4 linked regions of the Saccharomyces cerevisiae S288C genome follow. The gene in region 2 interacts genetically with the main gene of each other region. Each region holds a gene or a part of one and is shown on either strand. Other genes may lie near its edges. The genes, in order: HSL1, MMS1, RRM3 and RAD27.

Region 1 (6,895 bases), on a different chromosome or scaffold from region 2:
TTATTATACATTGTTCCTTCCTTGTTGATTAGTACTATTTTGGTAGCTTGCTGGAACAAGGATTTTAAGCAGTTTTGGAATTTTCAGTATGATACGATTGAAGTGGATAAAAGTTTAAAAAAAGCGATAGAAAAAAAGGAGAACTCTATAACTTATTCGACCTTCATCCTATCAGAATACTATAATGATGCCGACAAGTATGCCTTGCTTGGTGATGATGTAAACGAAAATTTTGACGATGATGAAGAATTCGTGCAAGAGGAAGATCTCAGTGACAGCTCTGAGGAAGAGCTTTCTGAAGAAGATCTCTTGGATGACGAATCTTCTTGAGCTCCAAAAGAAACGACAGCTCTTTTTACCCCTCCAGGGTTGTATTTATCTTCTAATCTAGGACAATGTTTGTAAAACCCTCTTTCTTTCCTTCGTGTCTCATGTCTCTCCATTTATTAATGTTCTTTTAAACTATGTTTTCTCACGCCTGTCCATTCGGTTCTCGTACGTTAAATTTTTCAAATTATTGTTGTATAATTATATAACATCTATATAGAATTTATGAACGTCCGGCATTTCGAATTACTCTCTCCACATCATCATTAAACTTTTCAAAGGCTTTATTGGAACTTGTGTTTGAATGTTTGCTTCTTTTTTTTACAGTAATTACCGTAGATGCATTGGGTGTGCTAGTAATCTTGATTTTGAATTTGAAGTTGCCTTTTACAAATTTACAATCGTATTCCACCACCTTTCTCCCAAATTTGTGATCTAGGTTCTTTAATTGATAGTCGATACTATTCTTGTTGAATTCATTTAATGTTAGCATATGCGCATCATCAAATGATATATTCGTTACATGATTCTTGGATGCCTTAGTAGCATTATTATGAGAAGAAAAGTTTTGAAATAGTTTGACGAACCAATTCTTTTTATCACTGGAAGGCGCTTCTTCAACTTCAACATTTTGGACACTTTTTAGAATTGGCTTTTTTGTATGGGTTTGTGTATTTGATTCCATAGCGGTATCCTTCGTAACTTTAATCGTTGAGGGTTTTGGTATTTTAGAGTAGTTATTTTCTGTATTATTTGCATTTTCCTTTTTTTCAACCACCGGCAACACAAGTTGAGAAGATTCCTCGGATATTTTATTGTCTAGCTTGGTATGCTCTTCTTTAATTTTTCCCCCACCTACTTTTTTAGATTCTTCCTCCTCCTCATCGAAAAGCATTGTCACTCGTTGTTTTGGATTAACGCTTTCCTCAGATGGTCTTCGCTTTGAATAGCTCATACTTGATTCAAGAATATCAGCTTGAGAAGTATGCCCATCTTGATCTTCCTCCAAATCTTTGAACATTGACTGTAAACTTTGAGAAATGCCTAATGCATTACTATCACGACTACCACGCGTGGAAGAAAACCTCTTTTGCATATGTGTATTAGAAGGATTTTCTGGTGACAATCTAAGTTTAGAAAGTATCTCTTCAGTAGTCTCTCTGGGTATACCAGAACTGTTATTATTCCAATAAAGACTTACTCTAACATTTGTCGCGGGAGTAAGAACGTTTGTTGTCGCCATAGTGTCAATAGATACCGCTTTCCTATGCACACTTGCTCGTGAATCGCTTTCTGAAGAAGATGTATTTAATGAACCCTCATCGGAGGGCGCATCTTCAAAAATATTAATGGCTTTTTCATCATATGTGTTTGGTATAGTATAATCTGGAATATAATTAGTATCGCTATTATCTGGTTCTTTTTCCTTCGAGATATAGGCTGCCGATTTGATTACTTTTTCTTTTGTAAAAGAAGATGCTTTGGGCGAAGTATTGATTTTATTATTGTCCGTGTCGTTGTTCATCAGTTGAATCGCCTGAGCGGTAAAGGTGTTTGTTGGTATTTCCATCGCAAATGTCATATCAGAGATTCCATCCAGATCATTACTCAAATAGGAGCCAGGTGAGCCCTGATTACGTTTAACGGATAAATTGGCGTTCAAATTAGACCGTGGAGTTAGAGATATTTTGGCAGATTGTTTTCGCAAAGGGTGTGACATGGCTACACTTCTAGATTGGTTCTGTGGCACACTTAGATGCTTATCATCACCGTCATCAGCGAGTATCTGGCTAAGATTTTTGAACGTCATAGATGTGTTCAAAAAACTAGAAGGTAAAGACAGCATTGGTTTTTGAATTGTACTAGATTCTGCTAAAACACTGGGATCTCTCGAAGATGTTGCTACTGTTGTTAAAGGTACATATGAACTTTCGATTGAAACATCTGAGGCTTTGACTGGTTTTTCGTCTTCCACATGTTCACTCATGAACAAGGAACCTCTCTCATGGGTCCAGTGAGAGGCTGGCTCCTTTTTGAATTTCAGTCCCTGCAATAGTGATTCCACTTTTGAATTCACTGGCTGGGAGATGTTACGGCGGGGATCTAGAGATAAGGACGGTTTACCTTGATCATTAGGCAAAGAATTTACACGAAGTTCTTGGTGCTGAATAGGTTTGAGTGGTGACGGGCGGTCATTTTTTTTTTGAAGTTGTTCTCTTTGAATCTTTTTTTCTATCCTCATACCTTCCTGTTTATTCATTTTATTGAATGAGTTCGTGATATCTGAAAGGGCCGCTCTCTTTGGCTTCTGTTCTTCCAAATAACTTGAGCTTAACGTGTTTTCTTTTTCAAAGATAGGAAATGAAGAGAGCCCTGACATATTCTCAGATGGTTTATATGACATATTGAATTGATTTTTCTCAATTTTGGTTGGATACTCCGGGCCCTCATTTTCCTTATTTGTAGACACCCCAGAGATCGTAAAAGTGTCTGCCGAAGATTTTGTATCGTTTTGCCTCTGTCTTTGGGTGTCGCGTTCTTTTTCATTGTCCTCTTCCTCTTCGAGTATCCTATCTAAGGCGTTTCCAAATAAGATCTGATCGCATAAGATCTCAAAATCAGAGTCTGATTCCAACGAATGGGGTTCTGATTTATTCACATTTTCGGATGCTGGTTTCTTACTAGGGAGAGGATCGTCAAAGACTAATAAATCATTCAGGTTCAAGGAACGTTTTGAAATTGACTGTAATGAGTATAAGGATCTCTTTGAAGCCGAGTTTTGTAGTGTTCTTCTAGCGGCAACAGTTGCAGCTATATTCTTCCTCGAAAGTGATTTATGTATTGATTTAGTAGATGGGGAGGCGTGGATTGCCCTTCTTGACAATGAATATCTTGAAGGCGACTTCGGCAGTTGAGGTAGAGGCATCTCATTATCATGCACAGTTTCTCTAGAAGTTGAAGCGGACAATGATAATCTGGAATTCGATAAGCGTAGCGATCTTCTCGAACGTGATGAAATAGAGGTGTATGAGTTACGGAAAATCCTTGATGAAGAAGCATTGAATATGGGAATAGCGGGTGGTAATGTTACAGCTTCTGCTTCAGCCTTATCACTTTCAGGTTGACTGAGCGTATTGATACTAAATTGCGATTTTTGTGCCAATACAGGGGCATTAATTTCTGTATTAACCCCTGTAATTGCGTTGTTCTGATTCACTGTTGAAGTATCTTCTGAATGAATTTCTAGAGAATGTAAAGTCTTCACATCATTGTTCTCGCTCCTTAGGCCTGTATTATTGGCAGTTTTGGATGCGTATTCAATCCTAGGTTCATTTACGCTACTTTCTGTTGCTGATTTCTTGTTTTCGCTTGACGAGGACAATGATATTGAGTGACGTTGTTTATATTGTAATAACAGTGAGTAGAATAGTTTTTCCTCCGACATTGGCTTTTGAAGCAACTTGGCAGTGATTAGTTCACGAGAAACTCCATGCCACAAAATTTGCAAACTCCTCAAGATGGATTCATCAATTTCCCCTTTTGAATGTAAAGTTACAATAGAGGGCGAGACATTATTTAGCAAATGCAAATCCGAGTTAGATTTTCCCCTCGCCATGTTATCCTTTCTCATTTTCCTCAGCACTTTATTAACTGGGAGATCATCATATTTTTTGATCAGAGGATGCTTCAATATCTCTTGAGTGGTAATTCTTTTTTCTGGATCAATTACCAATATTTTTGATATCAAATCACGAGCCTCAGAAGATAAATTTGAGGGCATTTGATATTTGCCCGATTGAACTTTCAACAACAGCTTTTTGATGTTGTCATCATTAAATGGTAAATGACCGGTGAGTAATGCAAATAAAACGATACCGCAGGACCAGACATCGCTAGGACCGCCATGATATGGTCTACCCATAACAATTTCAGGAGACGCATAGTGTGGAGAGCCACATGAAGTTTTTAAAAGTTTATTAGGAAGCTCTAATGCTGCCATGCCGAAATCAGCAATTTTGATTCTCCTATTCTTTTTATCTAATAATAAATTTTCAGGCTTCAGATCACGATGGCATATATTAAAAGAATGACAATAGGAAACACCTTCAACTATCTGCTTGAAGTAATGGATAGCCTCCCTTTCAGGTAGCTTTCCCTTCGAGACCAGATAATCGAATAATTCGCCACCATCAACATATTCCAAAACTAGGTACAGCTCTGATTTGTTCTCCCAAACTTCAAACAATGCCATAACGTTTGTGTGAGATATCAATTTCATGATTACTATTTCTCTCTCTATGCCATATGGGTTCGTTTGAGAATGGTTACTATGTTCTCTAGATGCTATTGATGGAGAAGATACATTGGAAGTGACCATGGAAGAAGAGTAAGAATTAGGAACAGTTCCATTATTAGAACAATGAACAAAGGCTTTCTTCTTGGGGACAATTTTAATGGCAGCTAATTGTCCTGTTTCCATATTTTTAGCCAAGCGAACCCTACCAGAAGATCCCTTCCCCAATGTTTTGCCAAGTTTCCAAGGACCCACCGTGTCTCTGGATTTTCTCTTTGATGATTTTGTAGCAACACTTACGGTAGAGTCGGGCTGAGATAATCTTTTGGTAGCGTCGTTCACAGATTGTACAACACGCTCCAAATGCCCCGACGCCCTTTTTGGATTCGAATTTACTTTGGCCATGGCCCTTTTAGCTGCCTTCTTGGCCAATGAAGACGGGCGACCTTTGGGTACGTGGCTCGTTTTTGAAACGTGACCAGTCATGTCGTGTGGTAAAAATAAAAAATATTAATAACAAATAATAAAGGAGTGAATATAGTTGGTTGTTGATTTATTTATCAGTATTTTTTGTCCCGCAAATCTATGTCGTTCTTTTTACCTTGTCTTTCTTGTAATTTTATTATTTATCTCTTTTCGCGATTAGTAGCAAGTAGTATGATGGATATCCAACCTATTTGATGATCTATTTGAGTTCAACTCTCTGTTTTAATGGCCTCTCGCTGTCCAATTTACGTCCTTGCAGTCGGATAACTAGCGAACTTACGATCCAAAGGGAGTTTTAAGAAGAAACAGGTTTCGAGCAAAAGGTAACTTGCTTATATTAAGAACGCCAATAAGAGTGGCCACTATAATGCTGCTCCCAGCCGGTACAAGACGGTACGGTACGTGATGGAGATTAGTTTTCACTATTTAGCCCAAACAACCCAACGCGAAAATGACCACGCGAAAAGAAAAATTAGTAAAAATATTTCACAACGCGAAAAATAAGGACGAAGGCAACACATTCCACCTTCCCTGTTATTGTAAAACGCACAAATGTGTGCTTTATTCGCTGAGGTTTCATCGACAGCTGCAGCCAGTTGTTCATTCGGTGTTCTCTTGTGCAGCGGCTCAAATTGTGGCAGGCTTGTAGGCTCCGAACGCCGTAAGGTACTTTATGTTTTTAATGTCAACGTTTGCAAGAAAATGTCATCCTATTACTTTCTGAGGCATGATAACATTGTAATCCCTTATCTCTTGCGCTTGTTGGTATCAGATAAAGAAGCATCAAACAAGAACCCACTCCTTCCTTTTCTCATGGATAAAGAGAGGTCGCACCATTTCGTGAGGAATATGAATTAGTCAGCTTCTACTTTAGGGTATAGGTTGCAAACTTCCGTTTTTCTCAAGGTTTAATCAGAAGCATAATAGGTCTTCGGATGATTTCTTGTCTAATTCAAAAAAAAAATAATCTGGGATAGGTTTTTCGGGAAAAACAACTAGGGGTGATGCTGTTTTGCACCTCTATTACTGTAAGATAGGCTATGCAAGCAAACGACAGTAAGAAAGAATAGGGTTAAGTGAAATAGTTGACACACCCCTTAATCGTTCCATTAGATAATAAAAATTCATTTATAAGCAGTTGACTTCACAGAACAAGACATACACTGTATAGAGCCTGATCAGTAATCTTAGTGCAATTGTAGAAACCTGCACAACCAACAAAATTAAGAAAAAAAGAATGGAGGAACAACGTGAAATACTGGAACAATTGAAGAAAACTCTGCAGATGCTAACTGTAGAGCCATCTAAAAATAACCAAATCGCCAACGAAGAAAAGGAAAAGAAAGAAAATGAAAATTCGTGGTGCATCCTCGAGCACAATTATGAGGATATTGCACAGGAATTCATTGATTTCATTTACAAGAACCCTACCACTTACCATGTAGTATCATTTTTCGCGGAGCTGTTAGATAAGCATAACTTCAAATACTTGAGCGAGAAATCCAATTGGCAGGACTCCATTGGCGAAGATGGTGGGAAATTCTACACTATAAGAAATGGAACTAACCTATCTGCCTTTATCCTGGGCAAAAACTGGAGAGCCGAAAAGGGTGTCGGTGTCATTGGATCTCATGTGGACGCTTTGACGGTCAAATTGAAGCCCGTCTCCTTTAAAGACACAGCGGAAGGTTACGGAAGAATTGCTGTTGCTCCCTATGGAGGTACACTGAATGAATTGTGGCTAGACAGAGACCTAGGTATTGGTGGTCGCCTTCTTTACAAGAAGAA
Region 2 (6,633 bases):
GGATTTTTGGTTGCTCATCAGTAGTCTTTTTGTTAGTTAGAGACCTATCCTTGTAGGTATTTTTGGTTTGTTGAGGCTTACCAAACTGAGCACCTCTGGCAGCACCCCAATCCAAAGCTGGTTCTTCCTTTTCTCTTTCTCTTCTTGGTGGTCTTGAGGAGCTTTGGAAGTTGGAACCTCTGGCTGCACTCCAGTCAATATCTGGCTCTTCTCTTTCTCTTCTTGGTGGCCTCGAGGAGCTTTGAAAGTTAGAGCCTCTAGCTGCACTCCAGTCAATATCTGGCTCTTCTCTTTCTCTTCTTGGTGGTCTGGAAGAGCCTTGGAAATTGGAGCCTCTTGCAGCGCTCCAGTCGATATCAACTTCTTCTCTTTCTCTTCTTGGTGGTCTGGAAGAGCCTTGGAAATTGGAACCTCTTGCAGCAGTCCAGTCAATATCAACTTCTTCTCTTTCTCTTCTTGGACCTCTGAAGTTAGAACCTCTAGCGGCACCCCAATCAAGATCTGGTGCATCTTCTCTTCCATCACCTTGGAAATTGGAGCCTCTAGCACTACTCCAATCAACATCTGCACCTCCCCCTCTTCTTGGAGCCGCAACAGAAACGTAAACAGTTCTCTCATTCAATTTAGTACCGTTGAACTTCAGAACGGCGACCAAATCTGCTCTTTCTTTCAAAGTAACGAAAGCATTACCCTTTAATCTTGTTGGGTCTCTTAGATTCTTTGGCAAAACAACTTCTTCAACCGCTTCAGGCTTAACTAAACCATCTTCAACCCAGGCTTGAACACCCTCTGGGGTAATATCCCATGGAATGTTGTTTATGACAGCCCTATATGGTGGAGCATCTGGAACAGGGTATTCCTCTCTTCTATCGGAAGAACCGCCCCCCAAAGCAGGGTCTAATCTAGATCTACCTCCAAAACTGCCACCAAAGCCGCCTGAACGCGTGTTATTGCTGTTGTTTTTAGCATGAGCCAATTCGGACAATGGAATAGTGTTTGCATTAGCGGTTTCAATAGGAATTGTGATCTTATTCAAATCGACATCTTCTTCAGCCCAAGATGAACCAAAGGTGTCATCATTTAAAAATGACGTAAGGTCCATCTTCTTTACGGTTTTCTTTGGTGGAGCCATGATGTGTCCTTTTTATTATGGTATTATTTTCCTAAAGACAGATGAAAGCTAATATAAACTCGAGTTTTATGATAATCCCGCTTATTGGTCTACTGATCTTCTCTAACTCTGTAGTTATATCTATCTCTTCTGCTTCTATTTCTGCTTTTCTTTAGCGATGCTGATTTCCGCAAAAAAATTTTCATTCCGTGGTGCGTGATCTGATGAGAAATAAAGCCAAAAAGAAAAAAAGACAAGAAGACAAAAAGGTTGGGCGGCTAAGTAGCGCCAGGATATAAAAAGCAACATAGATTTCAGTACCCTATTATCCTGCCAAAATTTACTTTAAGAAGTCTCTATGAATATACAGGCTAAATTTGGAAACATGAGAAAGGAAAGATGAAGATACAAAGATTGCAAGCAGTCAAGAAGATTTAGGAAAAAAGGAAAAAGCAAAAAATATCGATTTTTATGACTTACAAACTAAATTGATATGTTCGAAATAATTTTGAGAAGCTGAGCTCAATCTGGTACTAATCACTTCAAGTTAGATGTGCAAAGAAAGAGAATAGCATAAATTCAAAACCAAAGGAAGTGCGAGGCATTACCCGCATATTATCGGGAAACAGAAGCCATGTTAGAGTGATTTCCAACAAATGGCCCTTTGCCAGAGATGGGCTCTGCAAAAGAATTGGAAGAAGAGAAGAAATCGCTTCACATTCCGTTTCGTTTCTGGGTCTAATTAAAGTAGTACGGTGTCAATTAGGTATGCTAGGTTTGCGAACTCATGGTTTAGACAGGTATGAACATTATATTCGTCGCCCGTCGGATTTTGGCAAACTTGAGCTGCAAGATTGGTTGAATCATAAGTCATTCCGAGTTTCCCCCAATTTATTAATTGATTCAAGCACCACACGTGAGTGGAATGAACCTGAGCTTTTTTATCAAAATACCGAGGATGAAACTTGGGTGAGACCTTGTGTAGGGCCAAAGCTAGAACCATCAATGATGATGCTCAGATATCACGATTCGAATATTGGTCAAATGCCTCAATTTTGTTATCCAATCTCAAGTCCGATAAATTTTAAACCAGTATTAAAATACATTTTGCAAGAACGTTCTGAACTGTCAGACGGCTTCCCTCAAAAGTATAACACACTAATAGGTAGTCTTTTTGACATTGATAAAAACCCAGAAACCTTAGATGATTCAGATATAGAAGCATTGGATGACATAGAAATGAGCAGTGACAGCGGTAATGTTAAAGAACCAAAAATTGAATTGCAGGCGCTGGAAGAAATCCAACAAAAGCATTTCAGTTTAATAGTATCCAACAATGGAATCTTTCAAACAGGTAGCACTTCAATAACATACATACAGTCTGGCATATCTGGCAGCATAGCTATAAAACCCAACAACGTTGCAATTTTAATATTACTCACTCAACCAAGTGGTCACTTATTGTCTATTTTACCGCTTGATGACGGTAAAGAGACATATTTGCTACAATATTGGAACCTGGGACAAAAAGGTCAGTGGAACATAATCAAGCACCAAAACGAGAAGCAGTTTGTTCTTATACATAAGGAACTAGGCATTTGCAAATTTTTTGAATTCCATTTACCATTTACTTTTCAATTAGTAAACAATTTAACATTGACCGATTCCGTGATTATGAACGGATCCTTTTTCCCAACAAATTACACTGATTTAGATCCCTATTTCATTATATTTATAACAGCCATAAGATATGAAAGGATAGTCTACTTTGTCATAGAATGGAACAACAACGAAATAAAGAAAAAAGAGGTATATCAATTGACAGTATTTGATGGTGAGAAGACTAATATGACAATACCCATTGGACTAAATGCATGTTTAGTCGAAACACCCCTAAAGTTCTCTTTAGTTTCTGCAAATCAAATTATGTCAGGAGAGACTGAATTCCACTCATTCCAATTGAAGGCTCTCAAGGGAATCAAGTCATTTTTTCCAGCTCCTTTATTGTTATTAAAATTACAAGAACTACACCCACATACATTTAAAAAATTCCAATATTGTACCATAATATCCTCCTCGACAGGAAATATTTGTTTTTGCGTCACCGAACGATCGACAATAGTAAATGGTAATTTAAAATTTTACGAGCTAACTAGGTTCAAAGGATTGAAATCCATTTCACCACTACCTTCAAATCCGATAAATTTAGACTCCAGATCCTCAAGTTATGTACTGGTGGTCATAAGTTTTAGTAGAACATTAGAGCTAACATTATCTCTAGAAGATTTGAGATGTTTAGATAAAAAAGACGTTATTAAGCCTTTGAAAAATATCACCTTCAAGCACACAATTGATAGTTCCACAGAGGAGAACTCTCAAATTTTAGCATTTACGTCTTCTAAATTTTATAACACACACACAGGCTCTAACATCAATGACACGAGAAATTCTCAAGTTTGGCTTACCTCACCAAATGCAATAACTCAACCTTGCATTGATTATAAACTCAGGAAAACTCATCAACTTATCCACTTAAAGCAATTTCAAATTTTTAGACATCTTAGGATATGGAAATGTAAGAACCTTGATATTGCTCTGTTACAGAGACTTGGAATAAACCAGTCAAATACCGAAAGTTCGTTAATTTTTGCGACCGACGCTGTTTCTAACAACAGAATATTTTTATTAGATTTAACTATGACAACGACAATCGATAATGATGATCCCGTTCAAGGACTGATAAATATAGAAGATTTACTATGTGATACTGAAAACGAAACTATCCTTCTAAATTTTACGAAAAATAACTTGATTCAAGTAACTAGGGATACGATATACATCGATCCCATTGGTGGGGACAAAGAGTTGCGTAAGATTTCTCCAGGTTGGGAATTCGAAAACGTTACATACAATGATGGTATTTTAATAGTTTGGAATGCTGGGCTTGGCTGTGTCTCTTATATTGAAAATATAGACGCTGTTGATGAGTCTGGCGCCTTAGTTTCAAACTTAAGCAGCAGCAAAGGCATGAGCAAGTTCTTCAAGCAGTTAGGAACTGTCACGAGTGTCAATTTTCAAATCAAAGAGTCTACAGATGATCCAACCAAGTATGACATTTGGATCCTTTTACCAGACTGTGTCATTCGTACACCCTTTTCTGACTGGATTAGTGATTCACTTGATTTTTCTGATGTGTATATTTTGAGTGTTCAGCAGGCGTTAATAAACGGCCCTTATTTTTGCTCTCTCGATTATGAATCATATTTTGAGGTGCACACTTTACAGAACAACTGCTTCAAAAAAGGATCCAGATGTACAAGCAGAGTTAATTTTCAAGGGAAAGATATTAAATTTAGAAGCTTTGGTGTGAATCAATGTTTGGCATTTAGTGCATTTGAAATTTTTGTCATCAATTTAACGCCAATTCACGACAGTAGAGAATTGGATTTTTACAAGCTAAAATTACCGCACCTAGGTAATAACAATTCAATTCTTGAAGTCTGTCCGGACATAGAAAACAACCAATTATTCATACTCTACTCTGATGGCTTAAGAATCCTCGAACTATCATACCTAACATCAAATAATGGAAATTTCTTATTAAAATCTACAAGAAGCAAAAATAAGAAATTTTTATATCTAGACAAAATAAATCGAATGCTGGTATTGAATCAGGACTTGAGGGAATGGGAGTGTATTAGACTATCAGATGGTAAGGCAGTTGGTTTAGATTCTCAACTTCTTAAGGATGATTCTGAAGAAATCCTAGAAATAAAGGAATTACCAATAGCAACAGAGGACAATCCTTTAGAAAAGAAAACTGTATTATTGATCTCTTTTACTAGCTCATTAAAACTAGTTTTATTAACTGCTGCAAAAAACAAAATTTCCAATCAAATAATAGATTCGTATAAACTTGACAATTCAAGACTCCTCAATCATTTGGTCATTACTCCCAGAGGTGAAATATTCTTTCTGGATTATAAAGTTATGGGCACCGATAACGAAATGTCCTTTAACAAGTTGAAAGTCACAAAACATTGCATTGACCAGGAGGAGAGAAATAATACGACTTTGCGGCTCACTTTGGAAACCCGGTTTACATTTAAGAGTTGGAGTACAGTTAAGACGTTTACTGTAGTAGGCGATAATATCATTGCTACCACAAATATGGGCGAAAAGCTCTACTTGATTAAGGATTTCTCTTCATCATCTGACGAATCGAGAAGGGTGTATCCCTTGGAAATGTATCCTGATTCAAAAGTTCAAAAGATAATACCATTAAATGAATGCTGCTTTGTTGTTGCCGCTTACTGTGGAAATAGGAACGATTTAGATTCAAGATTAATTTTTTACTCTTTACCCACCATCAAAGTTGGGCTTAATAACGAAACAGGCAGCCTACCAGATGAATATGGGAATGGGAGAGTCGACGACATATTCGAGGTTGACTTTCCTGAAGGATTTCAATTTGGCACTATGGCTTTGTATGATGTTTTACATGGTGAGAGGCACGTAAATCGTTACAGCGAAGGCATACGGTCGGAGAATGACGAAGCAGAGGTTGCCCTAAGGCAGCGTAGAAATTTACTACTCTTTTGGCGAAACCACTCTTCTACACCAAAACCTTCACTACGCCGAGCCGCCACTATAGTATATGAGGATCATGTATCATCCCGTTATTTTGAGGATATAAGTTCTATATTAGGAAGCACTGCAATGAGAACTAAAAGACTATCTCCCTATAATGCGGTAGCATTGGACAAGCCTATTCAAGATATTAGTTACGATCCCGCAGTACAAACTTTATATGTGCTAATGGCAGATCAAACAATTCACAAATTCGGCAAGGACAGGTTGCCTTGCCAGGACGAATACGAACCAAGATGGAATTCTGGCTATTTGGTTTCAAGAAGGTCAATAGTTAAATCTGACCTCATCTGTGAGGTTGGGTTATGGAACCTTAGCGATAACTGCAAGAACACAGTATAATTCCCTCATTTCCAATAACATTGTCGCTGATAAAATCGTGATTCTCGATCAATGTGCTACGCGTCGTGCAGCGTGACAAGGGGCTAAAAAAAGATACAAGAATTCTTGTTGTTTCCAATTTGCTTCGCCTCAGAAAAAAAAATAAACAGATTATACAATTTTTGTTTGATTTGTATTGGGTACTACATGTTTTAGTAGTTGATACAAATACTTCTTTATCCTAATCGTATATATTTATTTTACCAGCAGGAATTCGTCTTTAATATCGTTTCGACCATCGATCATTCCTCTGAGTATTGCAAAAACATTTTTGGAACAACCCAAACTTAAAGTTACAAAACTCAAAAAAGGAACAAAATTAATAAAACAAAAGAATCGCTGTTAGAGGTTTATTGTTGCACTAATAGAAAATCATAGAACTTTAAAAATTATACTAGAAAGATGTCACAACAAGTTGGTAACAGTATCAGAAGAAAGCTGGTAATCGTTGGTGATGGTGCCTGTGGTAAGACATGTTTATTAATCGTCTT
Region 3 (4,395 bases), on a different chromosome or scaffold from region 2:
GATAGAGAAAGGCACTTGGTATGCAAGAGACGCAATCGTAGCCACAATCGACTGAGCGCCCAAGGCATCGGTGCCCAGATGGGAAGCGAAAATTGTCAACACTTCAAAGCCGAGGAACTCTGCCTCCACCATCACCACGCCGGGAATAGCTAGGTTAATCATCTTACGCCAGTTCTTAAATGCTTGTTCCTTAGGGATGATACCATTCCAGCATTTGAGTGGTCTCTCCTTGTGCTTGGTGGTCATTGCGTATATTAGTAATCCGAGCGTCATCAACCAGTAGTTGATCACAACCGATAATGGCGCACCAAGGTACCCAATCCCAATCTTGTCATTCCAAACAAGTAAGTAGTTCATCAATGCGTTCAAGGGTGCGCACACAAAGAGCACGATTGTGGATGCATGGAATATACCTTGACATTGTAGGAACCTCTTACCACATTCAAAAAGGATGAATCCTGGCACACCGAATGCGGTTACACGTAGATAGTTAGCCGCTAGCGCGCATAGTTCTCTCTCCGGAATCATTAGTGCTAGGATCTTTTCCGACCAAACAAACCAAACATACATCATTGGCAAGAACGCCAAGATGGTGATCACAGCACATCTCTGCACTAGCACACCCACCAAGTGGTAGTTTTTGGCACCGTATGCCTGCGCACACAGTGTGTCCAGACATGTACACAGACCTTGAATAGCAGCAAGACCCGTGATGTTAGCAGTCATAGAACCGAGTGTAACACCACCTAGCTCTTTCGTCCCTAAATGTGAGACGGAGAAAATAGATGCTAGTGACAACGAATTTTGCAAGATAAAGGTGAAGATTAGCGGCAACGCATTCATCGTGATCACTTGCGTTTCTCTCTTAAAAGTTGTGCTGATTTTCTGACCACTCTCGATCGCGCTCTCCCACGTATTTGCAATCTCAGCTGGTCTTTCTTCCTCGTCCGGTCCAATTGCTTGGCCATGTCCGTGACTTTCTATATCTCCCCCACCGTTGCCGTGTTGAGAGAGCAGTTTGTTGTCTATTAGCAGGTCCCGTTCTTCGTCAAGCAACCGCTTACGGTCGTGAGAGTCATAACCTTGTTGCCACGCTTCTTGTTGCAATGTCCGCGAATTGTTGGCATCTAACAACGAATGGTATTCACCTTCCCTCTCCGTCTCATCGTCATTGCCGGTATAGGAAGGTTCTTCTTCACTACCCTCTTGCTCTTCGCCCTCAATTAAGTTTTCTTCTGACTCCTGTGGGATGTAGTCTGCAGGCGTGAAAAGCCCTGCCTTCCCGACACTGGTGGAGTAGATAATCGATGATCTTCTGTCGTTGGTGGTATGACTAAATTGTTTAGACATAGTCTTCTTTCGTCTTCTTCTTCTATCTTCTTCACCGCTAACACAGACCCTTGACAAATCTGAAAAAGTACTTTTTAAGCCGGTCTATCTTCCCTTACCGGATTTATTTCTTTTGCCAGGGTTCTTTACTATTTTGTAGTTATCATAAATTTTTTTTTTCTTTTTAAGTTGCCGTGCTCTTCTATTTTTTTAGTCTTTTTTTTTTTTATTATTTTTTTTTTTTTCATTTTCCCTATAACGGGGCTAACCCGAATGCGCATGCATTATTCCGATATTATTACGTCAAAGAATATGTAAATAAACATCATCTCGAACAATAAGCAGAGGAGAACAAGCTCAAAAGTCGAGAGATTTGTTCTTATAAGACATCCCGATGTTCAGGTCGCATGCCTCCGGTAACAAGAAGCAATGGTCTAAAAGATCCTCAAATGGTAGCACACCTGCTGCTTCGGCATCTGGCTCTCACGCATACAGGCAACAAACGTTGTCTTCGTTCTTTATGGGTTGCGGCAAAAAATCTGCTGCTGCTTCAAAAAACAGCACGACAATAATTGATTTGGAAAGCGGTGACGAAGGTAACCGTAATATAACAGCACCTCCTAGGCCAAGATTAATACGGAATAATTCGTCTTCCTTATTCTCGCAGAGTCAAGGTTCGTTTGGAGATGATGATCCCGACGCAGAATTCAAAAAATTGGTAGATGTGCCGAGACTCAATAGCTATAAAAAGTCTAGCAGATCGCTGTCGATGACCAGCTCTCTTCATAAGACTGCCTCTGCGTCCACGACTCAGAAAACATACCATTTTGATGAGGATGAGACTTTGCGAGAGGTTACTAGCGTGAAATCCAATTCTAGACAATTATCGTTCACTAGTACAATTAATATTGAAGATTCTAGCATGAAACTTTCTACTGATTCAGAAAGACCAGCCAAGAGGTCTAAACCTTCTATGGAGTTTCAAGGTTTAAAGCTCACAGTACCAAAGAAAATAAAACCACTGCTAAGAAAGACAGTATCAAATATGGACTCAATGAACCACCGAAGTGCGTCTTCGCCAGTGGTACTTACAATGGAGCAAGAGAGAGTGGTTAATTTAATCGTCAAAAAAAGAACAAATGTCTTTTACACCGGTAGTGCGGGTACAGGTAAGTCGGTCATTTTGCAAACGATCATAAGACAATTGAGCTCTTTGTATGGGAAAGAATCAATTGCAATTACCGCCTCAACTGGGCTAGCGGCAGTGACTATTGGTGGTTCCACATTGCATAAGTGGTCTGGTATAGGAATCGGGAACAAAACTATCGACCAATTGGTGAAAAAAATACAATCACAAAAGGACTTATTGGCCGCATGGAGGTATACAAAAGTTTTGATAATTGATGAAATTTCTATGGTCGATGGTAATCTGTTGGATAAATTAGAGCAAATCGCAAGGAGAATTCGGAAGAACGACGATCCCTTTGGTGGTATTCAATTGGTCCTGACAGGCGATTTTTTTCAACTACCACCAGTTGCTAAGAAGGACGAGCATAACGTTGTGAAATTTTGTTTTGAAAGTGAAATGTGGAAACGGTGCATTCAAAAAACGATTTTACTGACAAAGGTTTTCAGACAACAGGATAACAAACTAATTGATATTCTAAATGCCATAAGATACGGAGAGCTGACTGTCGACATTGCTAAAACAATAAGGAACCTAAATAGGGATATAGACTATGCCGATGGAATTGCTCCTACAGAACTGTATGCCACAAGAAGAGAAGTTGAACTATCCAACGTAAAGAAATTACAGTCTCTACCTGGTGATTTATATGAGTTTAAAGCTGTAGATAACGCGCCCGAGAGATACCAAGCGATACTAGATTCTTCATTAATGGTGGAAAAAGTTGTCGCATTGAAGGAAGATGCACAGGTAATGATGTTGAAAAATAAGCCTGATGTAGAATTAGTTAATGGATCATTGGGAAAAGTTTTGTTTTTTGTTACAGAATCGCTGGTGGTGAAAATGAAGGAAATTTACAAGATTGTGGATGACGAAGTTGTCATGGACATGAGATTAGTGAGTCGGGTCATTGGTAATCCCTTGTTAAAGGAATCAAAGGAGTTTCGTCAAGATTTGAATGCCAGGCCATTAGCTAGATTGGAACGTTTGAAAATCTTGATAAACTATGCAGTTAAGATCTCTCCGCATAAGGAAAAATTCCCCTATGTGAGGTGGACAGTGGGTAAAAACAAGTACATACATGAGCTCATGGTCCCAGAGCGCTTTCCCATTGATATTCCCAGAGAAAATGTCGGGTTAGAAAGAACTCAGATTCCATTAATGCTATGCTGGGCACTGTCCATTCATAAGGCACAGGGTCAAACTATTCAAAGACTAAAGGTCGACTTGAGGAGAATTTTCGAAGCCGGCCAAGTTTATGTTGCACTGTCAAGAGCGGTAACTATGGACACCTTACAGGTCCTAAACTTTGATCCAGGAAAGATTCGCACCAATGAAAGAGTAAAAGATTTCTATAAACGTTTAGAAACTTTGAAATGACTTGCAACGAATAAATGCATATACTCTAGTTGAAGTTTTCTTTTCTTGTTCTATACAGGTTCGAATACTTGTGAGCCTATCTGTATAATTTAACAGAATCCCGAAATATTCATCTAGAAGCCATCTATTTAGCTAAGCCTACGTATGCGGCGATTTTTATATTATCTTTTTTTTTTTTTATAGAAGACTGCGAAATGTTGGCAGAATGGAAAGTTTCAGTGTTAAAAATAGAAACTGAAAAAGGAGATCTAGCCAGGAATATATCGAAAAAAAAAGTGAGGGAAATCAGATCCTACACAAATATTTAGATTTAATTGAAGACCCTGGTCTGCCAGATATATATATATATTAGACGAACTGTGCATTCAGTCAGCAAATCTAGGCCACAGATTTTCTTATTGAAGCTATCAAAATAGTAGAAATAATTGAAGGGCGTGTATAACAATTCTGGGAGATGGCTGATAAGATAGAGAGGCATACTTTCAAGGTCTTCAATCAAG
Region 4 (3,477 bases), on a different chromosome or scaffold from region 2:
TAGCCAAATTAATAAAGTATTGGCCATGCGGTAAGACGTCCGTCAATGGGTTATAATTGTAAGTTGCACAGTTTTTCTTAAATTTATCTATTTCCTCCTGTGTATACTGCGGAGAAACCCACTTTCTTGGAGATTTTAAAAACATGGCAAACGAATTACAGCCAGTGTTAAATGCATTAGTTACACTATTAGAAATTCCACCGGCACCTGACATGTGCGCACCAAATTTGTATTTCGAGACAGCAGATCTAACAAAGCTAGGTGTCGAAGGCATTACGATGGTTCCGATATGCCAAAAGCTTATTAATGTTGCGTTTTGTGTTTCTTATTCGGAGTTTGTCATCTTATATTTACAATGATTTCCAACATGTAAAGAAATGAAGAAAAAGAAACCAGGTAAGAATGAAAAATTCCACGTTCAAGTTCCCAGAAAAACTGGCAAAAAAAGAGAAGTATTAGATGAAAAAAGTTCGTGTATACAAATATCTATGTTACATATATGCCAAGGTGAAGGACCAAAAGAAGAAAGTGGAAAAAGAACCCCCTCATCTTCTTCCCTTTGTGACTTTATTCTTATTTTTGTTCAATTTTTTATTTTCTTGTGCTCTTTTCGCCGCAGCAGCCAGCTGTTCCTTTGTCTTAGGCACCACTTGGAAGAACCCATCTAACCTACCCTGAATGCCAGATTTCAAGCCTTTTTTCAATCTTGATATACCAGATTTAACTCTTTCTTCACTGAATTTCTTATCATCACATAAATACTCGATAAGTTCCTTCTCCTTTGGTGGCGACCATTTCAAGTTTATTTCGTTACCATCTATAACTTCAGGGTCAAGAAACAGCATTCTTGCTTGTTTGTAAGGCCAGTCTTCTGGGATTTTCCATTTAGTGTTGTTTGACTCCCCAGATTCAATAAACTCCACGATTTTTTCGATGGATCCATGCGTTTTTATCAATTTTAAGGCTGTCACTGGACCAACACCTCTGATGCTTTCACAGTAGTCACAACCAAGCATTATGCAAAGATCAACAAACTGCTCTATTGTCAAGTCGAGTCCTCTCAAAACTAATTCAGTATCTATTTCGTGAATCGGTTCCTTCTTGGCCTCTGAAAAAGTCAAATGTCTCAACAAGAAGGGTGTTCTATAACAGAGTGTGTCCATATCTTCACTTGCTGCGGCATACACCTTTCCCTTCTTTGCCAACTCAGCACATTGAGCCTCAGCTTCCGTTGGCGCTATTATATATGGGATTCCCATTAGTCCTAGTAATTTTTGGGCTTCTTCATTATGCTCTTTTGAGACCTTCACCAATCTTCTTTCTTGCTTCATCTTTTCCAATTCTGTTGTTGCCTCTGCCAGTTTTTTTTCTGTTTCCACCCTTCTTGAAGACCGCTTTGTCAACTCATGAGATTTCAAATCTGGAGGTTTGCCGTCGAAGACATAACAAGGCTTGATACCGTTATCAATCATTCTCAGTGTCCTATAAAACATACCCATCAAGTGTGACGTTGTTTCACCGGCTTCATTGGTCAACTGCCCACCGTCTTGCTGTCTTACAGCAATTAAAAACTGATATAGAGACATAGAGGCATCGATGGCAACCTTTCTGCCAAAAAAGCTCTTGATATCGCTTTTCCTGATAGCAGAGGGAACATGTTCCGATATAATTGCATTCAAACCTTTAATACCCATATTTTTTCTTCCGGTGTCCGTTTCCTATTTCTTTCCAATGTATGCTGTCAACGCTTTTCATCGATGTATATAAGGAAGAATACCTCATTATAATACATCAAAACCTTCATTTGCGCGATGTTACGCGTCGCGTTTCCTATAAAAAATACATAAGCTAGTGAATAAAAGCTTTAAACGCGTTAGGGGGATCTGCAATTAAAGTAAATAAATGAAATAAATGAAATAGATGAAAAACTGGTTACACTAATTATAACGTTAATAAAACTAGTTGATAATCAAAATATTGCCATAGCTAAGCCAATAGTACAGCGTTGGCTTTCTATCATAACTTACCAGCCGGGTGCCCAATCGGGTATCTGTCACCGAAAGTCACTGTTAACGAGGTGTGATTCAGCCGGGTACTAGTCTAGCATTTTTTTTCGCCTGTTTTTTTCGTGAAAAACGAAAAGTGGCAAGCAAACTTATATCACTTTCTACTTCTTTCCCTGTTCTTTTTGTTTATTGGCAATGGCCACTACCACATCCCCATTAACGAAAGTCACCAAAGTGTGTCATTTAATACTACGGTTAGTGACAGCATTTTGTTTAGATCTCAACTAGAGAGGATTATCAACTGCTAAGCCCTTTACACGTTATCTGTGATCCTGCTGCACTAGGAAACGTTTCAAATCACCATATTTGCAATTTCACAAGGATGGACAAATTAGTCGTGAATTATTATGAATACAAGCACCCTATAATTAATAAAGACCTGGCCATTGGAGCCCATGGAGGCAAAAAATTTCCCACCTTGGGTGCTTGGTATGATGTAATTAATGAGTACGAATTTCAGACGCGTTGCCCTATTATTTTAAAGAATTCGCATAGGAACAAACATTTTACATTTGCCTGTCATTTGAAAAACTGTCCATTTAAAGTCTTGCTAAGCTATGCTGGCAATGCTGCATCCTCAGAAACCTCATCTCCTTCTGCAAATAATAATACCAACCCTCCGGGTACTCCTGATCATATTCATCATCATAGCAACAACATGAACAACGAGGACAATGATAATAACAATGGCAGTAATAATAAGGTTAGCAATGACAGTAAACTTGACTTCGTTACTGATGATCTTGAATACCATCTGGCGAACACTCATCCGGACGACACCAATGACAAAGTGGAGTCGAGAAGCAATGAGGTGAATGGGAACAATGACGATGATGCTGATGCCAACAACATTTTTAAACAGCAAGGTGTTACTATCAAGAACGACACTGAAGATGATTCGATAAATAAGGCCTCTATTGACCGGGGATTGGACGACGAGAGCGGTCCTACTCATGGTAATGACAGCGGTAACCACCGTCACAACGAGGAGGATGACGTCCATACCCAAATGACGAAAAACTATTCTGACGTAGTGAACGATGAAGACATCAACGTTGCCATTGCCAATGCCGTCGCAAATGTAGATTCTCAATCAAACAATAAGCACGATGGAAAAGACGATGATGCCACTAACAACAATGATGGCCAAGATAATAATACTAATAACGATCACAACAATAACAGCAATATCAATAACAACAATGTCGGTAGCCACGGCATTTCCTCCCACTCACCATCCTCCATACGAGACACGTCTATGAATTTAGACGTCTTCAATTCTGCTACCGATGATATACCGGGCCCATTTGTCGTTACCAAAATTGAGCCCTATCATAGTCACCCACTAGAAGATAACTTGTCACTGGGTAAATTTATCCTAACTAAGATTCCAAAGATTTTACAAAACGAT

The links.
Region 1: mutations in MMS1 (region 2) and HSL1 together harm fitness more than expected from each alone (negative genetic interaction), as found in Saccharomyces cerevisiae (5 studies listed by BioGRID).
Region 3: mutations in MMS1 (region 2) and RRM3 together harm fitness more than expected from each alone (negative genetic interaction), as found in Saccharomyces cerevisiae (6 studies listed by BioGRID, with this or other methods).
Region 4: mutations in MMS1 (region 2) and RAD27 together harm fitness more than expected from each alone (negative genetic interaction), as found in Saccharomyces cerevisiae (4 studies listed by BioGRID, with this or other methods).

The regions. Positions count from the first base shown.
Region 1 is NC_001143.9:247,132-254,026, reverse strand, and holds HSL1 (protein kinase HSL1), read right to left. Parts: upstream 5,108-6,895; coding exon 551-5,107; downstream 1-550. Other genes in the region: YPF1 (aspartic endopeptidase), read left to right, coding at 1-330; YKL102C (uncharacterized protein), read left to right, coding at 5,660-5,965; metalloaminopeptidase APE1, read left to right, coding at 6,345-6,895.
Region 2 is NC_001148.4:868,824-875,456, forward strand, and holds MMS1 (Mms1p), read left to right. Parts: upstream 1-1,879; coding exon 1,880-6,103; downstream 6,104-6,633. Other genes in the region: TIF3 (Tif3p), read right to left, coding at 1-1,132; Rho family GTPase RHO1, read left to right, coding at 6,545-6,633. UniProt on the Saccharomyces cerevisiae protein: Component of multiple cullin-RING-based E3 ubiquitin-protein ligase complexes (CRLs), which mediate the ubiquitination of target proteins. The CRL associates with CDC34 as the E2 ubiquitin-conjugating enzyme.
Region 3 is NC_001140.6:170,299-174,693, reverse strand, and holds RRM3 (DNA helicase), read left to right. Parts: upstream 1-1,723; coding exon 1,724-3,895; downstream 3,896-4,395. Other genes in the region: ERC1 (Erc1p), read right to left, coding at 1-1,350; mitogen-activated serine/threonine-protein kinase SLT2, read left to right, coding at 4,350-4,395. UniProt on the Saccharomyces cerevisiae protein: 5' to 3' DNA replicative helicase recruited to paused replisomes to promote fork progression throughout nonhistone protein-DNA complexes, naturally occurring impediments that are encountered in each S phase where replication forks pauses.
Region 4 is NC_001143.9:224,182-227,658, forward strand, and holds RAD27 (multifunctional nuclease RAD27), read right to left. Parts: upstream 1,695-3,477; coding exon 546-1,694; downstream 1-545. Other genes in the region: DNA-(apurinic or apyrimidinic site) lyase APN1, read right to left, coding at 1-274; DNA-binding protein ABF1, read left to right, coding at 2,389-3,477. UniProt on the Saccharomyces cerevisiae protein: Structure-specific nuclease with 5'-flap endonuclease and 5'-3' exonuclease activities involved in DNA replication and repair.